2 linked regions of the Arabidopsis thaliana genome follow. The protein of the gene in region 1 interacts with the protein of each later gene in a pairwise test. Each region holds a gene or a part of one and is shown on either strand. Other genes may lie near its edges.

What was found.
Region 2: the proteins of PDV2 (region 1) and ARC5 interact in a protein complementation assay, tested with the Arabidopsis thaliana proteins (one study listed by BioGRID).

Annotation. Positions count from the first base shown.
Region 1 is NC_003071.7:6,983,332-6,987,574, forward strand, and holds PDV2 (plastid division2), read right to left. Parts: upstream 2,290-4,243; 5' UTR 2,026-2,289; coding exon 1,744-2,025; exon of another isoform or gene 1,661-1,743; intron 1,586-1,660; exon of another isoform or gene 1,416-1,585; coding exon of another isoform or gene 1,383-1,415; coding exon 741-1,382; 3' UTR 515-740; downstream 1-514. Other genes in the region: HB1 (hemoglobin 1), read right to left, coding at 79-191; ARI2 (RING/U-box superfamily protein), read right to left, coding at 4,036-4,193. UniProt on the Arabidopsis thaliana protein: Component of the plastid division machinery consisting in a binary fission accomplished by the simultaneous constriction of the FtsZ ring on the stromal side of the inner envelope membrane, and the ARC5/DRP5B ring on the cytosolic side of the outer envelope membrane.
Region 2 is NC_003074.8:6,849,811-6,857,512, forward strand, and holds ARC5 (P-loop containing nucleoside triphosphate hydrolases superfamily protein), read right to left. Parts: upstream 5,781-7,702; 5' UTR 5,580-5,780; coding exon 5,217-5,579; intron 5,056-5,216; coding exon 4,888-5,055; intron 4,793-4,887; coding exon 4,670-4,792; intron 4,594-4,669; coding exon 4,372-4,593; intron 4,296-4,371; coding exon 4,162-4,295; intron 4,071-4,161; coding exon 3,978-4,070; coding exon of another isoform or gene 3,963-3,977; intron 3,864-3,962; coding exon 3,800-3,863; intron 3,413-3,799; coding exon 3,364-3,412; coding exon of another isoform or gene 3,271-3,363; intron 3,081-3,270; coding exon 2,998-3,080; intron 2,765-2,997; coding exon 2,607-2,764; intron 2,463-2,606; coding exon 2,402-2,462; intron 2,091-2,401; coding exon 2,028-2,090; intron 1,941-2,027; coding exon 1,840-1,940; intron 1,736-1,839; coding exon 1,678-1,735; intron 1,572-1,677; coding exon 1,239-1,571; intron 1,143-1,238; coding exon 978-1,142; intron 877-977; coding exon 781-876; 3' UTR 548-780; downstream 1-547. Other genes in the region: AT3G19740 (P-loop containing nucleoside triphosphate hydrolases superfamily protein), read right to left, coding at 6,134-6,241, 6,344-6,415, 6,510-6,569, 6,654-6,792, 6,872-7,056, 7,182-7,265, 7,493-7,615. UniProt on the Arabidopsis thaliana protein: Mechanochemical GTPase component of both plastid and peroxisome division machinery. Required for the last steps of plastid division specifically in mesophyll-cell, when the narrow isthmus breaks, facilitating the separation of the daughter plastids.

The DNA.
Region 1 (4,243 bases):
AGTTCAAAATAGTAGTTCATATCTCAGACTATATACATAAAAAGAAAATAGAGAGAGATCAATGGGATCATTACTTACTTGATGAAGAGTTTGAGACCTAATTCAGCTGAGTTTTTCTTCATGACACTCCAAGACTTCACTACAAGAGCCTCTTGCTCTTCTGTGAACACAATCTTTCCTTCACTCTCCATAATATTTCACAACCTCTAAATGATTTAAAGTATACAACTCTCTGTTTTGTAGATCTTACTCCAATTATGAAAAGTATCCTATATATAGGTTTTGATAAAAGACCCTTTTGTGTTACCGAAGAGACAGTTCTTGATAAGCAAGTTTAAGATAAAGTTGCTTGGTTAAAAAGTGAAACCATGTGCTCTGTACTGGTAATGGAACATAGTTTGTAATGGTAGGCTTGACCAATTATTAGTCAAAACACTAAAGAAAAGTCTTTTAGATCTCTTTATCTCATTAATTTACTTATTTATGTATTGGCCAACCACACCAAGTGGTATAAGTTGGGATACACTGAATCTATTGATCAAATTGGCAGAACAGAGATTATACTACTCAAATGAATCTCTCCCTCATCCAATTTATTTGCACAACTATGAACAAAACTTGTGAGAGTTATGTAGCACCATGTGGCTTTCATATCTAAGAGGTAAGAAAAGGTTGAAACTTTACACACTGAATGTCAGGCAATGAACATTACAGAGGAGGGTGTTTAATTTCTTTCAAACTCAACCGTATCCGTAAGTTACATCGCGTTTCGCTACAACAGAGTCAAATGGTATTTCGACTCTTTCCTTAACAAGGCACCGTGCTTCTCCATCTTCAATCACAAGAACTTTCCCTGGTGGACATTGGTTAGGTGTTCTCTTCCCTCTGGTAGCTCGGTGCGGGAGAAGTCCAAAAAGGTTCAAGGAAGCGCCTCTTTTCCTCATCTCTGGACCATATCCTGATGCAGACAATAGAGAGATAACACCGATGATTGGAAGCACGATCTTTGCGACAGAGCCTAAGAAGCGAATAACCCCATGACTCGAACCTCCAGATCCTCCGTTGGGACTTTTCGCCTCTGCCTCGTTCCTCACATGTCCTGAGCCGAACCCATTCGCATCCGATTTCTTCTTCGAAGGTAAGTGAGATAGGTAACCATTATTATTATCTAAACCAAGGGAGAGAGGAGGATGGACAGGATAAGGAGGAAGTAAAAGATCATTCTCATAATCAACTCTTTCACCAGCAAAAGTCGTAGTCTCACGTAACACTTCAAAATCTTTCCCTTTGTACTCCTTAAGCTTCTCAAGCAACATTTTCCTACTGTAATCAATCTCAGAGAGAGCCAGTTGCTTCTCATATTGTTGTCTTTGCCTTAGATTCTGTTCACCACAAACCAAAAACCATCCCCACATTAACCACCACCAAGACTTGAAGCAATTCAGACATTATAGACCAGACTTGAAGCAAAATTCAGACTCAGTTTCAGTTAAAACCAGAACCTAACACTTTCAATGTTCAATACTACACTAAAAGCCAGAAACTTGATGAGAAGCAGAGGAATTTTTTAGGGTTTGGTTCAAACCTGTAAAGAAGCAATTCAGACATTATAGACCAGACTTGAAGCAAATTCAGACTCAATTTCAGTTAAAACCAGAACCTAACACTTTCAATGTCCAATACTACACTAAAAGCCAGAAACTTGATGAGAAGCAGAGGAAATTTTTAGGGTTTGGTTCAAACCTGTAAAGAAGCAAGCTGAGACTCAAGAGCTTCAAGAGCATCACGAATACGCAAAAGCCGTTCAGCTTCTGCTTCATCTACATCCTCAGAGCTGATTGAGTCAAAATCCTTGTCTTGATTCCCAATAATCTCGCTTTTTCTTCCTTCTCCGGGAGAAAGATCCTCGTTTCCATCGCCGTTGTCGCTGACGGTGGTACTGGAGTTATCGATACAATCGCTGATCTTGAGTCTGAGCTCGGTGGCTCTGGCTAAAATTAACCCGATGCCTTCTTCGTCTTCCATCGCAGAGATTGAGGAAAAGAATTTGGGGGTGGAGAAATTAGGGTTAGGGTTTTTGTAAGGTAGTGGTGGTGGGGAAGAGAAGAGAGACAAGTAATTTGGAGTGTTTGGAGTGGATTTGTTTTGTGGTTGGCTTAACTCAGATTTTCAGATTTGTTTCTGCTGCTTTCCCGGTTTTAATCAACGGCCACAAAAAATCAACAAATTTTTATTGAATTTATTTAAATTTGGGGAAAAAATGAAAAAGAACCATAAGAAATTTGGAAGAGGCCAATTTTGGACTCTAACAAAGATGACAAATCTGACATATCATTCTACATAAATAAAATAAAAGAATCTGTGTACTAAAATATAGACTTCTATGTCAGAAAAAACGTAAATTTTAAGTTATTATTTTTTACCGTCTAGATTTATTATTTATTATAAATTATAAAAATTATCGTAGAATCGTTTTTGTAACAATTCTTTTTCTTTGAACTATGGTTAGCATTTTTTTGTTTGTCAACGCCGAAGTCAACTGATCGGTTTACCGGAATTGTATGTTCATAATATTAACCAGATGACGTCATATAGTTCATAAATATGGTCATGCAATACATGTACTTCGTGTAGCTCAAGATACAATATTATACTTGGTATATATGACAGCGTAATTCTCTATATTTCGTGTAGTTAGCCATCTTTTTTCCTTTTATAAAAGATAACAAAGTAATTGAAAATGAATATGTTTTTTCCTTTTTTGGCTCAACAACAATAATTATCATTAAACAACAGAGTTTTACAACTTGTCTAATTCCACAAACGATTTTACCCAATTTGGCACTATAGAATACAACTTAGGATCATAATTCTCAAGAGAAAGAGATTCCTTTGCTATCCTATCTGCCACTCCATTGCCTCCACGATGCATGAACACAAACTTTGTTTCCTCAAAATGCTGAAGCAAGAACTTGATGTCTTGTATAATAGGGTCCAGAGTAGGCATATCATCGTTATCAACAAGAATAGACACCAATTGTTGGGAATCAGATTCAAAGATTACCTTTCGGTAGTTGAGTCGAGAGAGTGACAACACCGCCCAACGCAACGCTTCAGCCTCAGTAACCAAGGCGGATTGAGCCTTTGGTATAGCCCTTGCACCCATCCAAAGCACGTTCTTGTCGGAGTTTCTAAGCACCCAGCAAATGCCACACTTGTTGCATTCTGCATTCCAAACTCCATCTGAGTTACACTTAACCCACCCATGTGGGAGTTGCTTCCACTTGATCACTTGCTTCTCAGAGCTCTCTATGAGAAATGTATATGTTTAAAATGAATATGTCTGAAAATGAATATTTTTAAAATGTAGTTTGAGATGGTTTAAAAATATTAGTTAGAAATATTTTAATTTAAAATAAGACATTAAAAGAAGTATTCAAGTTAAATTACATTAAAATTATTAAATAACACTAAAAATACATTATATTGATGAGAGACACAAAAGTGAACCAAAAATAATAAAATTATATTAGTGAGAGATTCAATAGGTATCTCACCAAACAAAATTTTTTAGGGGATGCATTCAATAAAAAAATTACAACCAGAAAAAGTGAAAAACTAAGGTTAGCCAATTTTTCAGATTGCGGGACACTCTCTCACCGTCACAACAAAAACCTCATACCATCTCAAATATATAACGCATATGTACAAGAGATTCATATCCATGAATTAGGTACGATCCACCTACGTTTAGTTAAAAATTTACACCTCGAGGCACTGAGAGAAGCCTGAGTTCATAGGCAGCTTCAAATATGATCCACTATAAGTCTATAACCATTATCCTATGTAAACTCCGAAACTGATTGAAATTTTGTAAGTAACGATGCTTGACCCCTTCTTTCAGAACTGAAGAGGGTTAGGTAAGGTCACTGACAAATTAAGCAGAGGGGATTGGGTTTAGAGCTATAAATATCCGGGTAACACACTTTATTTGGACAAAAAGGGTGTTATTGGGAGGTGAAGAAGGATAAGTGTTCATTTCCGCTCAATGGCTTCCGCTGGCAAGTTTAAATCTAGTAAGGTGGTTTGGCTGTTTCTGTAACTTTCGTCTATTCTAGCACGCTTCCCGGAAGAGCAACTTGTGTCTTCCGACTTCCCTGACTCCAAAGCTTGATCGAGCCTGGACGTCCATCCTGTATTAAAGAGTTTGCTTTGTAAGATTACCGGTAAGTCTCCAACCTAA
Region 2 (7,702 bases), on another chromosome or scaffold:
TACTCAGTGATCAGTTTTACGTTTATTCAAAAATAAGTTGTAGTTTCCTTCTTAATATTCAAGTTATATGACTAAAAATTGGTCGGTTAATTTACTATTAAGATTAATCGGAAACTCTAGTTAGATCACGAGATAATCATCACGTGGAGAAACATTTGGTTCTTGTCACGTGGAGAAAACGTTAAGCTTATTTTTTACTTCTTTATTATATTTTTGAGGAAATGGTTGAAAGAAAGAGAGTGTTTAAAATGTGAATGCGCTCGTAGTTAGGTGGAGGTTAATGGGTAGGAGGGTAGGTCATATGTGTATTAGTGATGGATAAAAATTAAAAACATAAAAAAAACTTCAAGCTGTAAATAATCTAATAAAAGAACATAGAAATATAATCAAAGAACCATTTAACTAAATAAATACTTTCGATTCAAATAGCATATTTCTAAGTTCCAAGAATAGCTATCCTCTATCCACATGTTACATTTTTTTTTTCTTTTTCACATCCATATAGTTTTTAAAATAATTTTCTAGATGGTATTTTTTATTCGACATTTTTTTTTCCTTTTAGATTTACTGATTATAATTTATTTAGAAATAAATGATACGACTGTCGTTTCTACAAAACTGAAATTTGCAAACATTGGACCAAAAAGCGAAACCTTAATCACTTGAAACGACAACGTTCTTTAGTATGTTTTTGGACATACAAAGTACACATAAGATGTTCCCTCACTCTTCGATTGTTTCTTAACCTAATATAATTAAGCAATATTGAACTTGAGTCACTCAATGCTGCACCGAAGGAGCCTTTAGATTTTGAGCAAATTCATGAGAGTTTAGCTTCTCATTCATCACTCTGAATTTCTCTTTTATCCTCTTTATCTGTCCAAAACATGACACATAACATAATGTTAGTTCTCCTGCATACTTCCAATGGCAAATAGAAAAAAGAGACATTGATCATAGAAGTCAGTTTGGTTTACCCTTCTGAGCTCGATCTCTGTGCTCCGTTTCTTTTGATCAAGTGATTGCCGGAGATTCGTGATGTCGAAGATACTATCGAGGTCGTCTTCAAATGCGTTTTCCAACTCTTCCCGGAGAAGAGCAGGTAACTTATCAACGATGGGCATTAGAAGAAAACAGTTGAACTGCAGAACAAAAGAAAACACAGATACAAACTTTTTAAAAGAAAAGTCATTTTAAAAGCAAGAAGAATCTGAGTAAAAACTGAAGTAGGAGCAAACCTTTAACTCAGCAGAGGCGAGAAAGTACTCTCGTATGCCCTGGAATATCTGTTGGACCAATGCGTACACAATTCTCTCAGAGGAAGGAGCAAGCTTGCGGTTCCAAAGTGTGCTATCTAGAAGATCAGCCAACCGCATTTCTGTTGTCTGAATACTGGAACCTGAATCGATGTTTGAGGCGAGATGGCTTAGCTTTACATCTGATCTTGACTTGGTGTCTGTTGTGCCACCTAATGCATCTTGGGGAAGACTAAATCCTATGGCATTACCTGATGTCGTATTATGCTCTGTTCCACCAAATGAGTCCAAGAATTGACGTAGACCAGCTCGGTTCTACATAACATTGAGAAACGAAAACTACTCAATCAGAAACGGATACTTGATGGTATGTACACAACTCAATTGGATTGAAACAGAGCTATAGGGCTGTAGCAATGACCTTGTTGTGAAGAGACCATGTAACATAGCGAGTTGTACTTGCTAAATCCTCCATACATCTGCAAACAATATAAAATCCAAAGGGTGATCAATCACTAAAGCTCACTAGAACACAGGTAGGAGGCACCGACATGGTAAGAACAGGAATTGGAAATAGAATTACTTGTCACGACATGATTTTTCTGTGGACTCCACAAAACTGTTGAATGCTGAAGCAACCCGCTTGAGAAACACCTCATGCCCACTTAAATATTCACCTTCTTTCTATTCAAATTTAGAACATACATCAAAAAATTTGCTGGAAAGGGATCATGAGTATGATACCGTCAAACCAAAGAAAACAGTACCTACCTGAAGAAGATATACAGAAATTGGAAGCAATCTCTTGAGAATGTGTAGAAGCCTCGCCCCTAACTATATCAACGCAAAACAAACGAAAATGAGAACTGGAAAAAACTTTCTGTATGGAAAGAGAAACATGTGAATAACAAAATTTCAGATGAAAGTATTCCCAAACATAGTTTCTGTAAGCAGAACATGTTTACTCGATAACTCTTATGCACAAATAAGTTCCAGCAAATCTCAAAACTGAATGGTAGTATGATTTCAATATATAACGTTATATTTCATTTTTTTTTTTACGTACAGTACACCTTAACTAATTAGTAAAATTGCTTTCCATCCTCCACGAAAGAAAAAGAAAAAAGTAGCTATATCTATGTCACCTGATGAAGGAAAGGTTCAAACGTCTCACGAGCCTTCGCAACTGCTATAACACAAGCTGTTCTACAACAGCAAATAAGAGAAAGAGAATAAGAGGCCATAGAAAACATGACAAACGTTGCAGCTCAGATTAGATACTGAAAGGGGTCTGGGATGCAAAGACAATAAATTGAGAAGTGTGTTGCATGTCAGTCAATCCTATGATACCTGGAATAGTTTGTTCCATCATGAATATCCTCAACTCCACATGCATTTACAATTTCCTCCCTCGTTATTGGGGGACATTTGATAGCACCAACTAGAAAACGAAACTCAGCCATGGCACGGTGATATTGTGCACCCCCATAGAGACGCATCCCTGCATTCTGTAAAATGAAAGATAATCTGGTTATGGTCTCTCATAATTCTTGAAGGTCCAACGAAGTATCTCTTTTATTTGTTTCCAATACATTATTCTTTGGCACATATGTTTCATGCGGTCAAATTTATCTTCCATCATATTATAATCCATGTACAAGAACAAGACAACTGGATTTGAAGACCATGCCCAGCTTGCTCTATAAAGTCCAACAATATTCTGCTTCAGGGAAAGACTTACCGGTATTAGCTTATGTGAAAACTGGAGACCATCAGTACCAACAAATGCTCCTCCTTGTGTCCTTTCATCTTGCAGTGTCTCACCTGAAAAACACCATGAGAAATTATTAACAATCAAAGAACCCAACATAAAGAGAATGCTGTTATAAAATGTGCTTCTGCCAGTAACCAAAGTATCATGACCAATGATTGATTGATTAGCATACATCATTCCATGTGTAATCATCGCAGTCTGGTGACCCAGTCGAATTGAACAATATGCATTTAACTAAACTGATTTTGCAAAAGTCCAATTTAACAACACCCAGAAACAAGAAAAGTTTATGCCAAAGAAGTTGACTAGCAGAGAACAGAGCAGTAACATTACCAAATTTATCTGGAGGGGCCACAACTGTTCCCTTCAATAACAGCGATAACTGATCAAGAAAAATATAAACAAAACAGGTGAGAAAACACAGCACTGATCAATACTAACAAAGGTACTTCGTACGTCAATCAGAAAATATGACGCAGCAATTTTAAAGTCTTAAGGGCATCCAACACAAAAAGTTTACAGCCATTCTGAATTTGTAGCAAGTCCTAGATATCATTTACTGTAGCATAATTTTATATGTGTCAGTAATCAATAAACAAATTTGTTTTTATGTGTCAGTAGTTAATAAACCAAAAAAAAAGAGAAGTTTACACAAATGAACTTGTTGTAATTATACAAAAACTATTAATCCACGAGTCCAGGCAAAAATGAAAAGGTATGGGAAGGTGTAAATAGAAATCTAAAAAAACGAAATGCTCTCTACAGTTACCTTGGTTAAGAAGAGATCATGGAAAGTCCTGCCTCTCTCTTTGAGTTTTGCTTCATCCAAAGAGCTGCATTGAAAGGAATTATTCAACCTCCAATGAGTTATATTTTCTATAAATCAGTAGCTAACAATTAAACTGCCTAAAATCAAGTAGACATTTTCAGACAAAACAAATTGCGACCTAAGTTCCTTGCTCACGGTATCCAGCTTTCTGACTGTACTGCGGTACTCCTTTCCTAACAGTGGAATGATCAATGGAACACTCTCTTTGTACCTGGAAAGAGAAGGGCATCAAGACTACAGCGAAAAGTAAACTACAATAGAAACAGAGGCTGGAAAAATCAGAGTTAAAACAACAGTTATACCTTTTCCAGAGTAGTTCTTCCAGAAACAACCTCAGTTTACTGATGCCAATCCTACTCTTTTCCTGTTTTGTCAGTAAACGGCCCAACTTCTTCTCTAAAGATGCAATGTCTTCCATTTCTCTAAGTGACACAGCCTGTAATAAAAACCACACATAGTTTAGAAAAAGACCTGTTTAACTTGTTTAAGGAATCAGACAGCAGAGCAGAGACCTGTTTGAACTCGTCATTAGACTTATACACTGAATCCTGTCCATAGCCAACTCTTCCAGAAGGCACAGACGTGAAAAAAGGAGAATCGCCCAATAAGGAGCTGTCAAGTGCGCTTGCAGGAGGTGAGAGAAAGACTTCCACGTCAGATGAACATGAGAATTGAGGGATTTTAGTGTCAAGCTTTGTAGAAACAACAATTGTCCTAGAAAGCTCAGGATCAACCTACATGAACGAGAAACAAACTTTAACAAAAATAAAGACAAGGTTAGACGCAATGGAGTTACGTCAAGCAACGTACTTGCATCACTATCCTTCGAGTGGTTGCAATGCTCCAGTCACTGCTATCTTCGAGGCATAAAATGATGAACTCTTTGTGTTGCATCTTTGCTCGGACTAGAGCTTCCACAGCCCGTGCTTGAACCTAAGAAAAAGAACAAGTAACCCACTCTCAAATAAAGCAAAACCAAAACATGAAATCAGCCACGGAATTGGCTGGAAGCCATAAGAAAAAACAACCTGAAGAGCTCGGTTTTTCAGTCCTGGTGCAGGAGCAATAAGTCCAGGTGTATCAATGATGGTAAGGTTTGGACAATACTTATACTGGACTTTCACAATAATCTCCTTTGCAGAGAATGGGCTACATGGCTCTTGCTCCAGCCTCATGTTCTCAGCCTCAATATATGCCTAACTCCAAATCATATAACAAATTTCGTTAACATGAGCATTTCGCTTCTCTACAATAAACCTAAGTACTTGTGTTTCTCAACATTCGTCAAAATCTTCCCAGAATTTATACGCAGAAACAAGCAATTGAAGAAGCACAAGTAATAATAATAACAAAACACCTGAATTTGTGAGAGAGATTTGGGAAGAGAAACGGAAGGATCATCATCAGATCCGAGATGACAAAGCGGGAATTGACACTGAGGATCGTACTTCATATGGAGAGTAATCGGCCGACGAGTCTTGGTTCCGCCGCCGACATGGTTAAATTGAAACCCCATAAGAGCTTCCACAAGCGCACTTTTACCGTCGGTCTGCTGTCCCACCACAAGAACCGCCGGTGCTTCGAACGGCGTCTCCAATTCCTGCGCCAAAGCGTGTAACTCGTTGTAAGCTTCGTAAAGACTCCACCGCTCCTCAATCGCAGCGTCGTCCTCTTCCGCCATTTCCTCAACCGTCACCGATTTTGCTGATACTTCCGCCATCGTCTCTTACGAAAATGAGCAAGAGGAAGAGTAAGAGTAAGAGAGTGTCTCTTATTTCTTCTACTCTTTAGTTTTCGTCGCCGTTCCTTTTTCCGCCATGGAATTAGCAGATACGGCTAATTTCAATTTTTGTCAAAAGAAATATTTTTTGTGTTTTAATCTCACGCGCATCCATGGCGCGTTGAGTCAACGTTGTAATAGTTCTCCGCTAAATTTAAATAAAAGAGCGCGTAAGGAGAGAGTTTAAGGATTTTTTTTTTTTGGTCGGCAAATACAAAGGATTTGCTTTGTCTTGACCAATAGTATATGCAGAAATATTATCTCAAAGGATTTGTGATAACTATGTAGTACAGAATTGTGATTATTGGATGAGAAACCAGAAATATTTTGAGCAAATGACGACTTGTTAATTTACTATTTTTTCATTTCTTAAAGGTCTCTCTTGTGTAACTATGATTAAAATTGAAATAGTGACTTTTATTGTTACGACATGGAACAAATCAACGAGTTCTATTGTTAAAGAGAGACATTGATGAATGTAACAAAACTGTGGCTTAGAAGCCGAAAGGAGACTTAGTTCGGGTCCCTCCTTCACCGTATTGCTCGTTCCATTTTCTCAATTCGTTCATTGTCGTCGCGTCGTATGCCACTGACGGACTTACCTGCAAATTACATTACAATGACGCAATTTCGATAATGCAAACACCAGGGGAAAAAACATGAATAGAGATGATGATGATGTTTTTTAAGAGATTGATCAATACCTTAGCTTTGGATTGAATGAAGTCGTCCAAACTCAGTGGTCGTAGATCAGGGGACGCATTTGTTACCGAGTCCTGATAATTCGACGTTTCAAAAGCATGGAGTGAGTACAAAAATTATTTTTCGTAACAACAGAAATCAACTGTGTGGGTTTATGCATGTCCTTACCTTGTTTTCTTCTTGTAACAATTCTTGAACAGGTCTGTATGCAGCTGCTATGCATAGATTCTGCAATGTAAGAAAAGAAAAGGAATCAGAACTACTGTGTTGAATCATACTCGAACTTGTAAATGAAACCCCGAATGACCAAACCTTTAGATCGCTTCCTGAATATCCTTCGGTTTCCTTTGCAAGTTTATCAAACTCGAAACCAGTTTCAAGATTTTCTGGTGTCAGAAATATCTTCAATATCTTCAACCGGTTTTCCGCATCTGGTAAATCCACATATATCCTATAAACACAAGCCTCAATACAATTATCGAAAAGATACAAATATTCCAAAGGAGAAATTACTTGAAAGCTTAAATTACCGTCTTGGTAGCCTACGAATGACAGCGTCATCAAGATCAAAAGGTCGGTTGGTGGCACCGAGAATGAGAATCCTTTGGCTATCTTTTGATCTGAGTCCATCCCAAGCTGCCATAAACTCATTTCTCATTCTTCGTGTTGCCTCGTGCTCAAAAGCACCACCACGAGCACCCAACAAACTGTCAACCTATACGACAACAAAATAAATTACAGTTAGTCCTTGAGTAACACATTTTACGCATCACAAAAGTATTCCTCATAAAAAGCAATAACCGAAATTGAAAAGTGATATAAAGCTAAACAATTTCTCACCTCATCAACAAATATAATGACGGGGGCTAGTTTGCTTGCAAAAGAGAACAAAGCCTTCGTGAGCTTCTCTGCATCTCCAAACCACTGTGCCAAACAATGGACGAAATTGACTTAAATCAGAACCAATCAGAGGTAAAGTTGGAAAGAGATTTACTCTAAGTTACAATCGGCATTGACAATAATAAGTCGATGACCGGGGTGGAAAAGTTTTTCTTATGTCATTAGATATTCTCCTTATTTATATGAAGATGTTTACAAAGTGGAATATCAACGTGACAGTGCAAACAACATAGTTTTAAGGTTCCATGTACCTTTGAGGTAAGCGTTGAGCCAGTTATGCTAATGAAGTTTGCCCCAGCTTCTGTTGCAAGCGCCTTGGCAAGCAGCGTTTTACCCGTACCCGGAGGACCAAAAAGCAATATGCCTTTACATGGCTGGAAAAAACAAAGACACACGCATTCAAGAAAACCCAGACGAGAAAATTCCAAGTCCATAGTCAAGAACATAATGACATGTATATA